Linked DNA regions of Arabidopsis thaliana. The protein of the gene in region 1 purifies or fractionates together with the protein of each later gene. This does not show direct contact. Each region holds a gene or a part of one and is shown on either strand. Other genes may lie near its edges.

What was found.
Region 2: the proteins of MEE5 (region 1) and AT5G15610 fractionate together in Arabidopsis thaliana (co-fractionation; one large-scale study listed by BioGRID). This does not show direct contact.

What each region holds. Positions count from the first base shown.
Region 1 is NC_003070.9:1,898,036-1,905,404, reverse strand, and holds MEE5 (Ribosomal protein S5/Elongation factor G/III/V family protein), read right to left. Parts: upstream 5,455-7,369; 5' UTR 5,298-5,454; intron 5,173-5,297; exon of another isoform or gene 5,109-5,172; 5' UTR 4,976-5,108; intron 4,894-4,975; 5' UTR 4,882-4,893; coding exon 4,141-4,881; intron 4,055-4,140; coding exon 3,986-4,054; intron 3,882-3,985; coding exon 2,688-3,881; intron 2,577-2,687; coding exon 2,478-2,576; intron 2,365-2,477; coding exon 2,206-2,364; intron 2,090-2,205; coding exon 2,004-2,089; intron 1,920-2,003; coding exon 1,721-1,919; intron 1,643-1,720; coding exon 1,532-1,642; intron 1,441-1,531; coding exon 1,234-1,440; intron 921-1,233; coding exon 822-920; 3' UTR 508-821; downstream 1-507. Other genes in the region: AT1G06210 (ENTH/VHS/GAT family protein), read right to left, coding at 6,419-6,802, 6,983-7,264, 7,353-7,369. UniProt on the Arabidopsis thaliana protein: Splicing factor involved in pre-mRNA splicing and component of the spliceosome. Essential for reproduction. In female gametophyte, is necessary for the egg cell and central cell fate determination and hence reproductive success.
Region 2 is NC_003076.8:5,077,640-5,082,749, reverse strand, and holds AT5G15610 (Proteasome component (PCI) domain protein), read right to left. Parts: upstream 3,293-5,110; 5' UTR 3,172-3,292; coding exon 3,079-3,171; intron 2,779-3,078; coding exon 2,649-2,778; intron 2,553-2,648; coding exon 2,414-2,552; intron 2,303-2,413; coding exon 2,090-2,302; intron 2,007-2,089; coding exon 1,868-2,006; intron 1,711-1,867; coding exon 1,560-1,710; intron 1,461-1,559; coding exon 1,351-1,460; intron 1,261-1,350; coding exon 1,006-1,260; intron 920-1,005; coding exon 821-919; 3' UTR 516-820; downstream 1-515. Other genes in the region: AT5G15620 (F-box/RNI-like superfamily protein), read right to left, coding at 1-285; SP1L4 (SPIRAL1-like4), read right to left, coding at 3,887-3,979, 4,055-4,345.

The DNA of each region.
Region 1 (7,369 bases):
GATATAACCAATGAAGATAAGGCATGACGTTTTCAGAGTTGGCAATGCACATAAAATAAGGTGGAGGAGACCAATCTAAAACCTTAAACGATGTATATATTAATCCACCAGGGCCTTAACTATATATTTTGTAGCTTTATTCTATGTATAATAAGTATAAGTGGTTGCCGCCACGTCCACTTCGATTTGTAAAGAGCACGTCAACGTAAAAAGCTGATTATGGAAGCATGAAATAGACGAAAATAGTAAAGCACAACAAATCTTTGAGACAAGTAGTGACGTTTGACGAATTAACCGATTTTCATTGGAGTAAAATAAGTCGTCTGTGTGCACTAAATTAAATTATGAAGAAAAACTTACTTATATCTAGATAGGTTTGTGCCATTGACCTGGTTTATCTTTAAATTTAGCATTTTTGAAGAATCAAATCTTAGTTATGCAGAAAACTCTTTGCGGAAATAGGATCTGGATCGTACGTTCTCTGTATCATATGTATAATTACTAATCATATAGACAACAAACTATGAGATCATCTTATAAATGATAGTGTCATAACCTAGTTCAGTTTCCCATAATCCAATAGTAGTTTACAATTTTACAAAAATTTGTGAACATTTCCTGTCAACTATTTGCGAGTCATGTGTGAGTGTGACCATGTGGACTGTTGAGTTCATTAAAATCTCTCAACTTACAACGTAAATTTGACACATCAATTACAAAACTGATCCACATTTTCTTGTTCTCCTTTCACATATATAGAGAAGAGAAGATACTACTACTAGTCCTGAATCACGATTTATATGAAAAAAGTGCAGAGATCATCAAATCATCTGCAGATGGAGATCGCCTGTTTGCTGGGCAAGCTCTACCATCATCGCTTCATCAAAGAATTTATTTCCGCTGACGTCTTCGCTCATTCCCTGCATAACCAACAAATTATACATATCGTGAGAGTCTGAAACTGATGATCCAAACACCCAACGAGTCATACAATATAACTAGCCTAGGATGTATCCAGCAAATTATAGCTGGTGTTACTTGGTTAAAGAGTAATTAGCAAGGGCCGGGTTTGTAAACAGTAGTTTCGGGGATCCTTTGGTTTGTGAGGGTTTACTGGGGTCATTTAACCAAACACTAGAGTAACAAATCAGTTTATGGTTTCATTCGTATCTTTAACCGCATGAAACCCACTAAGTTTTGGGATGTGCATTGAAACAAAGGAAATCATAATACCTTTCTACGGCGGGTCTTGACCATGAATTCCCGAGCTAGATGCTGAATAGGAGCGGGCTCAAGTGGGCGCAACTGGATGGCTTTGTCTAGAGGGTCTCCTGGCACAATGGCCCAGTGATCAAACACAGATAGGCAAAAGGCTTGTCCCTGAGTGTGGTACCTCAGATCTGTCTCAAACCCAAAGGACTCTATCACAGGCAGAAAGGCCTGCATCAACACCAAAGAATATACTCAATGAATCATCACTTAGTCAAATAACAGGAACAAAGTAAGGAGAAAAGACACAAACAAAACTAACCTTCACGATATAAGCTGGAGTACCGGGTTGAGGAACATCAGATGTGACATGCCCACGTCTACGTGACAAAACTGTGTAGATTGCAGTTACACAGTCGATTGGTGTTTGTATCTGCGACAAAACCATAACTCTTAGTTATCATTTTAAGAGAAAAAATGTGACGAGCAAAAATGGAAAGGGATTATGTACCTCCACATAGTAGACAGGTTCCATTAGCCTTGGAGTTGCCATTAGAAAAGCTGAATATGCAACACGTCTTGCTGTTGGAATCATCTGACCAGATCCTCTATGCAATGGCTCTGGTGCTATCCGTGCATCAACAATCTTGAACTTTACATTTCTGATGGGCTCATCACAGAGGGGACCTTCACGAGCACCCCACTGGAACCTGCAAGAGGAATAAAACGAAGCCACTTAGCTAAAGCCAACAAAATCGAGTAAAAGAAAAGTGTAACAGAAGAAAGATGATTACCCTTGAACAATGGAGTCTTTCACTGCCATCATCAAGTTCCTGTCCACCTCAGTTGGAAGGGTGTCATCCAATAATATGTTTGGCCCCTGATCAGTCGAAAATCAACAATCAATGAAATTGTCAAAACAGACATAAACCAACCATAACAATAAAGATAAAGTAAACCCCAGATTGCAGTGTTTTAAGAATACAAGCATTTCACCTGTTTGTCAGGGCCAAAAGCCCAGATGGAACGTGCAGCAAGTAAATCCCAGTCATATTTCGTCCTGAAGAAGTCACCAAGTTGTTTTCTGTTCCAGTCAATGCTTACAACGCCATTCTCAATGTCCTCTGCAAGTCCTCTATCCAATGGCTCTGCAATCTTTAGCATGAAACAGATATCAGATTTTTCACAAAGTAATTGTGCTTGAGCACCATACCAAACATCGCAGTCTAATATATAAGAGATAATAGTGGAAAAAGAAGATCTCTTACCATAGTTATTTTGTTCTTTTTGTTTGGTGTCTCAGCAAAACACTTCATCGACGAAGATTCAACCACTGTCTCACAGAAGGAGACCACCGGATCTGCAACCTACAAATTTAAGAAAGCAAAAGGATCTTAGCTATCAAACAGCCAAATCAGCAATTTGCTTGCACACCGGAATCACAGTCATAGAGCCAAATTAGAGATACAATTAGATACCTTTACTTCGACCTCTGAATAGAGCTCCCTGAGGTCCTTCATGATTGAATCCAAGTACAACTCACCTGTGCCTAGAATAGTATGTTCCCCAGACTCCTCAACTTTGGTAATCGCAAGGGGATAGCTTTTGCTAATTTTCCTAAGCCCTTCCACCATTTTAGGCAGCTCACTAGGATTCAAAGGCTCAGTTGCAGTCTTGACTACTGGGAGGGTATTAAATTGGAGAGCCCGGAATATGTAGACATCTTCATCATAGCTTGCATTACACAGAGTCGCAGTTTTCATGATGGATGCATCGACACCTTCAATTAAAACCCAGGAACCGGGAGGGGCACTGCTTACTGGTATTCTATACCTAGCTTGATATATCCATAGCTTCGTCACTTCTTTTATAGTCATGTCCTCCTCATCCTCAGGTGAATACCCTTCTCCTAGTACACGTACGCTTTGCCCTGTTTGAAGCCTACCACTATAAACTCTTCCAAACACATCAAAAACACTAGTATCTGATTTGGGGTACAACTTTGTCACATTAACCATGAGAGGTCCAGATGGATCACATTCTACCATTGATTCATAAATGGGGGAATCTTTGGTTCCGGTATATGAATGGTCGACCTTCCTAGCTGCAGCCTCTCTGGGTGAAGGAATGTGCTTTACCAACATATCAGTGAACCCTGATGCCGAACCAAACACTGAACTACAGGCTAACCTAAGTAGAGGTCTGACGTTCAGCTTATATGCACTATTACTCAGAGTCACTCCTAATTCTGCAAGGGTGGTCTCTACACTCTTCTTATGTTCACCTATCACTTGGCTGTATATCTTGTATAGGGGCTCCAGAATAAACTGAACAAATGCTCTTTCTCCACCACCTACTGGAGGACTTCTCTTGAATACCCTAGTATCAGAGTGATAATATACATCTCCCCAAAGTCGAGATGCAAACTTATCCACGTCCATGGCCACACCATGAAGCTTGGCATACATTTTAGCAAAAGATTGTAATGTGAAGGACCATCCGGCTGTACCACTGGCAAAACATACATTTCCAGCTGCAGGGTCTATAAGAGGTAAGTCTCCAGCAGTTGTTGAAGCAGCAGATATGTGGTTATTAATGACTTCAATTGTATGCCTCAGCTTGTAGTAAGCATCCCTTGGAGGTAGTTTGAGCTCAGTTATGAGCCTGTCAACCTGTTGGGGGAAAAAAATTGACAAAAAGCAAAGGTCAAGCAAATGTATGGAAATATAAAATTTCACACAGTATCTCTTAAGTTACACGTTGAAGCATGAAGTACCTTATTGATAACAACTACAATAGGGAGATGGTCCTGGATTGCATGCCGTATAGCTCTCTCTGTGTTAACCTGAAAAAAGATTATTAGCGTCAGTACAAATAGTATACTTCAAAAAATTAAAAATACAGACCAAAAAAGAGAGAGTAAAGACTTACCATCACTCCTTCAGCAGCATCAACAATCAGAACAGCACCATCAGCAAGTCTTAAAGAAGCAGTCATTTCGTCAGAGAAATTGACATGTCCAGGGGTATCCATGATATTGCACAGGTATGATTTGGATCTACTGTCCTCAAGGACAAGAGACATTGGAACCGCCTTGATTGATATATTTCTCTCCTGCTCATCGACTCGTGTGTCTGTATATTTCATATGCTTCTCGTTTTTAGCATTAAAAGTAGACATATGATGCGTCTGCTCTACCAACATATCCATGAAGACAGTTTTGCCGTGCTGTAGATGCCCCACAAGAGCAACATTCCTCACAAGCGCAGGATTAGACATGAGGCCGATAAGAAACTGTGTTGACACATACGTTGCTTGATCTTTGACCCCCACCTCAAATCTAATATCTCTAACAGGTTTGATAATGGGTTGCTCAAGAGGCTGCTCATCTTCATCCATAACCAAGGTCTCAACATCCTCACCATAAACCTCCTCAGCAGTAGGGTAGTACTTCTTATCCTCAGGAAGAACAATTTGGTTCTCCATCTCAACATCATTGATAGTGGTAATCCAGCCATTAGAACCCCCAGGCCCTTGTTCGCCATCGGAACCATTTTCTTCAAGATGCTTATCTTGGAGATCTTCATCTTCTACTTCATCATCACTATCTCTGTCAGACTCAATCTCAGGTCCAACATAGTTACCAAACTCATCATACAAGCTACTTTCCATCTTTATGTAAACCTGTCAAAAAAGAATCCCATGAGCAATCAGGATTTTGTAGCAGATAAACAATAACGGCAAAAAAGTCAAATGAGTGCATTACCACAAAATCAAGCTTTTGATAGATCTATCTGGGTTATTTACTATAGCAATTCTGCAACATATTTTATTTAACCCATTGGCGAGTAATCTCCTCTAATGCTCAACACCAAGTCCAAGAGAACACCATGAAAAAGCTAGAATCAACCAGAAACTTAAGGTAATTAGACTAGAGCAAAACCCTAGGAGAGAATCGAGCAGAAGCTTATGCTAAGTTGGACTAAAGAAAAACAACAAGGCGAGAGTCGAGCAGAAGCGTTGGAGTAGAGCAATAACCTAGGGTAGAATCAACAAGCTGAACAAAGTTAAGGAGTGAGAAGACGAACCGGTGGGGAGAGAGAGCGAGAGGCGTTGCGATAGCTAGAGGAAAATGCGAGTTGGCTCGGCAATAGGGTTTGTCGCCACTGAGACTGTTATCGCCGGAACAAGGGAATGAAAAATTTAGATTTAGGTTTTGATTGGAAGACTCTACGTCGGACAGAGAGTTTTAGTCGGTATATATTGATTAAATTATAGTAATTGAAATCTATTTGTAACGATGTGGGATATGTTGATGGGTCGGGTCCAATTATATGTCAATCGGCCCAATTTAGAAAAAATTGAAACGTCTAAACCAGAACGTAAACCGGGTTCACTATGTTTACTGCAGAAAAAATTCAGTAAAAGTTTTAAAAGATGTTTGCGTTTTGCGATGGATGAAGCAAAATTAGTCGTATGTCACTTAGGAGTTCATTTTAGATTGAAAGCTGCGATTTGAAGAAGATAGTAAGCATAACAAGATGGTTATAATGATTACATGAAGACAGTTCTTTACTCAAGTGTAGTGGGAAGTATCATATACTCTTCAATCGGTACAAGCCCTTATTTGGCTTTGTTGGTGACAGGGGTAAACTTTTGGAATATCACTGTGAAGCATCGTCCAAGAGACAGTGAGAAGTATCGTATAGACATATACTCTACAATCGGTACAAGACCTAATTTGGGTTCTCTAGTTGGTGATAAGGGTAAACTTTTGAAATATCCCTGTGTAGCATCGTCCAAGAGACCAAGACTCCGATTATTATTTGACTTGAGAAGACTAAACACATTAAACACATTAAAGGTTAGACTTCGTTTTATCATTTCGAGCGAGTTTATCGGAGAGTGAGGTGAATTTTATCAAGCCATTTATATAATCCAGAGGAGATGTAGATACTCACCTCTCAACACATAAGCAATAGGCTAAGTGCAAACCAAAACACCTCGTATAAATGTTTCGGGTGAAGATTCACCTACGGTTTAACAATGTCTAAGAAACCACTTTAAAACAGAAAGTGAGAAACGAAGCTAAAAAGGTTCCACACTTATAATGGAAGTACATTGTTATAATTTAAAAGTAAACCATCAAGAACAACTCTTCGCAACATTCTGATATCCATGTCGGAAGAAGACAACAAACACAGACTGCTTATTTTTCATCTTCATCACTCGAAAGCCCCAGTTCTATTTTCACGGCCTGCTTCTCTTCTTTGACGGTTTTGTTGGAGGATCCTGATGCTTCTGAATGTTTTTTGTCATCATCAGCACCCGTTTTCTTTACAGGCTCTTGTTCTTCTTGTTCTGTTGGTTTCGGACCAGTATCTTTGCTTCCTGATGATTCTTGTTCCACAATGGAGGCTTTCTTTTCGGTTTCATCAGGCTTCTTGTAACTAGATAAAACTTGTTGGAGCTCATCATTCAGATGCAGAGCCTCGAACAGGACTCCCTCGTCGTCTGTTGTACTCTCTATGATCATTTGAATCAATGGCTGCGATTGCTTGCATTTCTCCATCAGGCTAACCGTTAGATCGTCCTGTAACCATAATATATATAAACCTATTACTTATCACTGTCCTGTCAATTTCACTTTAAGCACATATATCCAAGGAAACAATAATGTAAACCAGGAGATACTCATAACTCAATCCATATTCCATAGACATTTGTTAAGGAAAATGACAAAAGTTAGATGAGCAGACAACGTAGCAACTACCTCTGTGTGATTTGGCTTTCCTTCAGTATTCAACATGCTAGAGAGCAATTCGAGGCTGTTCCGTGTAATCTCAATCTGTTCTTTCTTATCCTTTATCGATAAGTTCCCAAAGTTATAGTCAAGACCATCATCGTCCCCAAGAGCCTGTTCTTGATTAGGAACCGGATAGCTACCAGGTGGAGGCACTGGAACAGGCCGTTGCATAAGAGACTCCAGAGAACTTTGTCCCGGCATTGAATTCTCTTCACCTCGAGCGTGTAATCCATTTTCGCCTTCCAAGCTCTATGAAACAAAAGACAAGCCGGAGATTATAGGCATATGAACAATTCCATCTTTGCATAATAAGCAAATAAGATTCAGAGAGATTTACCATATAAGTCTGGTGGA
Region 2 (5,110 bases), on another chromosome or scaffold:
CTTCAACACATTGCAAAGACAATCGTTGACAATATTATACTGAGCAAAATCCATAGACACCAATTTCAGAGAGAATCTCTTTATACGGTAACTGGCAGGTTCAGCTAATAATCCATCAACAAAATTCTTGAAACTTTCCCAATGATGGAAAACAACGTTTCGTTTGATAGTAACCAAATTCTGAAAGTTCTTGGAGACAAACTTTAAGCACGTAGCCTCCTTTGCCGAAAGAAAAGAAACGATGTGGTAAATAACATCGTCTGGTAAATTGCTGAATCTATCCATACTTATCCCAAACCCTAGAGAACCGATCGATCAATACCAAAAAAACTTCAATTTTCTAATCGAAACAAGAAATCTGAAGCCAACACGAGATTCAATATTGAAATTGTGATACGATCGACGACGCCAATTCGAGAGCTTTCTGACGCGAATCAAAGAGGAATTGACGAATAACTAGAGCGGAGTTGTGACATTTATTGAAAGCAAAGAAAAGAAACGAACACGACTGGGGTAATTTGAATCCACTATTTTATACTCGACTACTAAAACAAAGCTCTTATTTTTTAATCCAATGATTTTGCGCCAGCTGTTATTAGCCACTCCCAATATTCATGCATTGGTGATAAATTTATCTAAACAATGTATCGCAAGTCTCCGCATAAATTTAAGGGACAAAAAGAGGCCAACACAAAGAAGAAGGCCGGAATCAAAAAGATCCAACGGTCAAAAGAACTCTGCAAAGAATTCAATAAAGCTTTTGAGATGACAATATCAGATCACTCTTTAGATTGAGAAGCTTCTTCTTCAGAGATATATTTCAACGGACAGTCAATCCCTGAGCTGCTGATGATGTCTGAGTACCTTCCTCTGTTGCCTTATTCGATTCGATCGTGCTGATTACATTCCTAACATTGTCCTGCACATACCCGAACAAGAAACATCTTGTTATTACAACGAATTTTCAATATCGCAGGATTTTCAAATTTTGGTTTTATATTTTACCCGCCAAGCTGCTAGCTTTGTTCGAAGAGACTGCCATTGCTTTTGTCCAAATTCACGCTCGGCACAGCGGCTGATACATGAACAGATATGAAGTACGAGAATGTGTGACTTTGGATTTACACATATAAATCGAAATAGAAGTAGATTAGAAACTTGCCTGACAATTACAACTTGGTTCATCTGATCCATCTTACAAGCAACCAATTTTGCAGTTATTGCCTTAACCACCCACAATTCAACCTCCTCGTCATTTACCTGCACCCCCGACAAATTCGATGAGTCTGAGAAAGCAACGCAAAAAAGGTTATCAACATTTAATGTATTGTTCGTAGAAAAGAAGCTAACCTGTAGGGTGTTCTTGATCGAGGCATACGGTATTTTGCCAGAATCATCTGAGGCCAAATCAACTAGGGACAACAACCTCATCTTTGCTACACAGTCTTCCTCGACAAGTCCTGCAGATACCGTCTATGGCTTATTATGGGTTCACTAAAGAATGAAGGATTCGATTCATCTGAGGATCATGTCAAGCGGTAAAGGGATAAGAACAGTACCGTATGTTTGCAGAAATCCTGAATTCGCATTTTGGAATTCCATGTATGCATCTAGCCTCTGAGTAAGAAAAATCTTCAGTAGCTGGTAAACTGGTGCATTGTTAGGATCCTTCTCCAACTGTGCGACAGCTGGATGGTCTAATAAATCACACTGCAATTCAAAATACAAAAGTCAGGGATGTAATTCCAGTAAAAGACCTCACTGAACAAAAGGCGCAGTAGTTAACACTTACAAGCTACAATGACAGTAACAAGTCAACGTGCAAAAATCTTACGCATTTGAATGAATGATTTATGAATTAGGATACCTGAAATATACTGGGAGCCTTGACAAATTCAATAACTGCTCGTACAGCTTCCTCCTTGGCTTCACTCAGGACTTGGGTATCTTCATTGGAGAAAGTTGCCAAATAATTTGTCACAAACTGGAGGGATTCTTTCGCAAAACTGAAATATTGATTAAAAATCCCATGAGGACATTGGTATACCTTAAAAAAAGGAAAAAGAAGAAACAAACATTGTTGCAGTACCTTTTATTTTCTCTAAGCACTTTAGCAATAGCAAGAAATAGTTCCCGCTGATCTTTGATGTCAATGTTCCACTCTTTCAAGAAGCTGTCAATCTTCTTAAAGGAAGGTACAATATACTCGGTAACCTTCCCGTTTACAGCCAGTTCCAGAGCTTTCATGTATACTTGAAAACGAGCATTTGGGTGGTCTACCAGATTATATAGATTGAAGAGGCTGCACAGAGACAAGCAACAGATGAGAAACACATAACACAAAAATGAAACATTAAAATAGATGCTCAAAGACTCCTAAGAGAGATTAGCTCAAAGAGTCACACGATCATACATCTTCAAACGCAATGAAGCTTTGTCGTTTGGTTGTTGAATAACCTTAGCAGCTATAGCTTTCACCATTTCAAGGACTTCCTCAGGACTGTTCGCATTCTTGACAAGGTTGCAAATGATGGTGTAGGTACACTCAAGATCTAATAAGAGGCAAACACCATCAAAATTAAAGAGATATTATTTATGGTTAAAAAGGACTAACAAACATATAGACCTGCACACACAAAAAAACAGACCTTTCTCAGAGATTTTGGCTGATACCAAGTCAGCTGAAGTTACCATCAACGTTGCCAAATCCAGCCACTTCCCATTTATTATAGACTCCTCTGCTTCCTTACATAGCCTGGAAACTTCAGGCTCTGCGACCTAATAAGCAAAAGAAATCATAATCAACTAAACAATTCCATAGTGAGGCAATTTTTATTAAAACAATCAGATCAAGTGAGATTGCAATAGACACATGGTAGCTAAAACACTAAATTGCTCAATTCAGACTTCATTTTTATCAACACAACGCCTCAACAATCAGTGATTCCCAAATTAAGGTCGCATAAAGACAAAGATACCCAGAAATTGCTCATAAATTCCAATAACGAAATGTAGCAACTTTCGAAATAGACAATCGTATTCACTAGTCGATGATTGAGAACAGAGGTTGGTACCGACCTCGGGACCAGCATCAGCCCAGGCAAGCTGGGAAGTGAAACGAACAATGGCGAGGTAAGGATCTTCTTCGGAGGTGGGAACAATCGTCGTCATTCTCTGCTCGACTGAGTCTCTAACGCTAATCCTAAATCCCTAGCACAAGTTCGAGAGAGACAAAGCAACAAATTGAAAGCCCTAATCAACGTTTTATGGTTTTTCTCGGTTCAGAATTGAACCGGATCCGGTCTAATAATAAAATAACGAGGGAAAGAAACGGTTTTGTGCATCAAAATTAACGTACACAATCTAACGGTCAGGATCAATCGTATAATTTGGTGACCGGCTTGATTAGCCACCGTGATCCGCTTAATTGTACGTGTTCTTTTGGTTAAATGATCTCAAATGTTTATACTTAACAGTTGTTTGATAGATAGAAGCTGCAAGTCAAACATGATGATCAATTTTGGCTTGAAACATCCATGTTGTTAAGACAAGTAATGAACTAGTCCGAGACATTGCACTGTTGTTTATGCAAAAAAGGTTGAATTTCAGGAAGCTGTTATGAGAATGGTGACCGAGCAAGGAACATGGAACTTGAATAGTTGTATAACCAATAGCAAAGTTTGTAAAATGATTTTCTTTTGCTGGAAACACATTCTGGAGATCTCAAGATTGAGAAAGCTTCGTAGCTTTTTCAAGAACACAAGAAATGGCCAAATTCAAAACAATCCTCAAAACCAGTTTGTAAGGATAAAGAATAAAGTTTAGAACAATTTTTACATTTTTTCAAAGGGTCAAATGCATGAGATGTTTGTCGTGGAAATAGAAATCATTTGTCAGATCCACAAGGACCAGATCCAAACAAGTAACCCAAAGAAGATCCTCCACCTGGTGCAGCATGAACCTTCGTAGATGGTCGTTCCTGTTTCTCAAACCACAAAACCAAATCAGTTTTAAATTCAAGTTCCTCAATCAAACTTGAATTTAAAACTCTTACCGTGAGGAAGTTGCCACAGTTTTGTCCATCTGATCTGTAGTAATTATTAGGACTTCCTCTCACACCAGCCGAGTTCTCCTCTGTCTTGTTTTTATCTCCGGTTGTTGTAGTTGTGGTCGTGGTCTTGGGTCTACCTCCAGCTCCATCCGTTGTTGTTGTGGTGGTCGTGGTGGTGGTAAAACCGGTTTTAGCGTTGGGCTTGTTTGGTTTGGGAACAGACTCGCCGGAACCAAAAAGATAACCGAGAGAGCTCTCTCCGCCGCCGCTGTTAACTCCTCTAGCTTTCCCCATTTTCCGGCGAGAATATTCCGCCGCCGATTCTTGAAATTCTAACAATGTGTAACATTGTAAACATAATCCAGATCAATATATCTATAATTAATTTGATTACTTGTAAACCATTAAAGACACATAGGAGAGAGTTTTTTTTTTTGTACCTTTTTTTTCCTGATTTGTTTCTTCTTCTACGATTGGCCGCAAGTAAAGGTAAAGAAACAGAGGAACAAGGAGATACACACATGAATGTGTATATATACAATCTACACGTGTAAGATAGTGTGTGGTGAGAAATAGGCATGAAGTTTATGGTAGGCACGTGTGGGGTTAGTTGTTTGGTAAATCGCTTAAATTTTACCCGGTTTTTTTTTGGGTAAAAACCGGTTTGATGGACCAAAATGATTATTAATCATGAGCCGTTTAAAACATTCTTTTATGTTGGTACAACAAAGCTGTTTGTAACCATTTATGTTTAACAATTGTCATTTTTTATAGATTAAAAGATTCCAATCACAGAGGAAATAGTGACAACCCACGAAATTGTGGATTATCAATATTATCATCTAAATCATTGACAGGGAAAAGAGGGAGGCCATGATACAAGATTTATATTCCATTTTTAAAATTTCGAACTATACCATATTGCTAAGTATTTTAAAGAAGAAGAAAAATGATGAAAGTGTTGGAATGGGCTTAGGCCTCTTGAGAAAAGGAAACTACAAACGTAAGCCCAATATCTTTTGAGGTCCATCCAATTTGTGTTGGGCTATATTTCTCAAC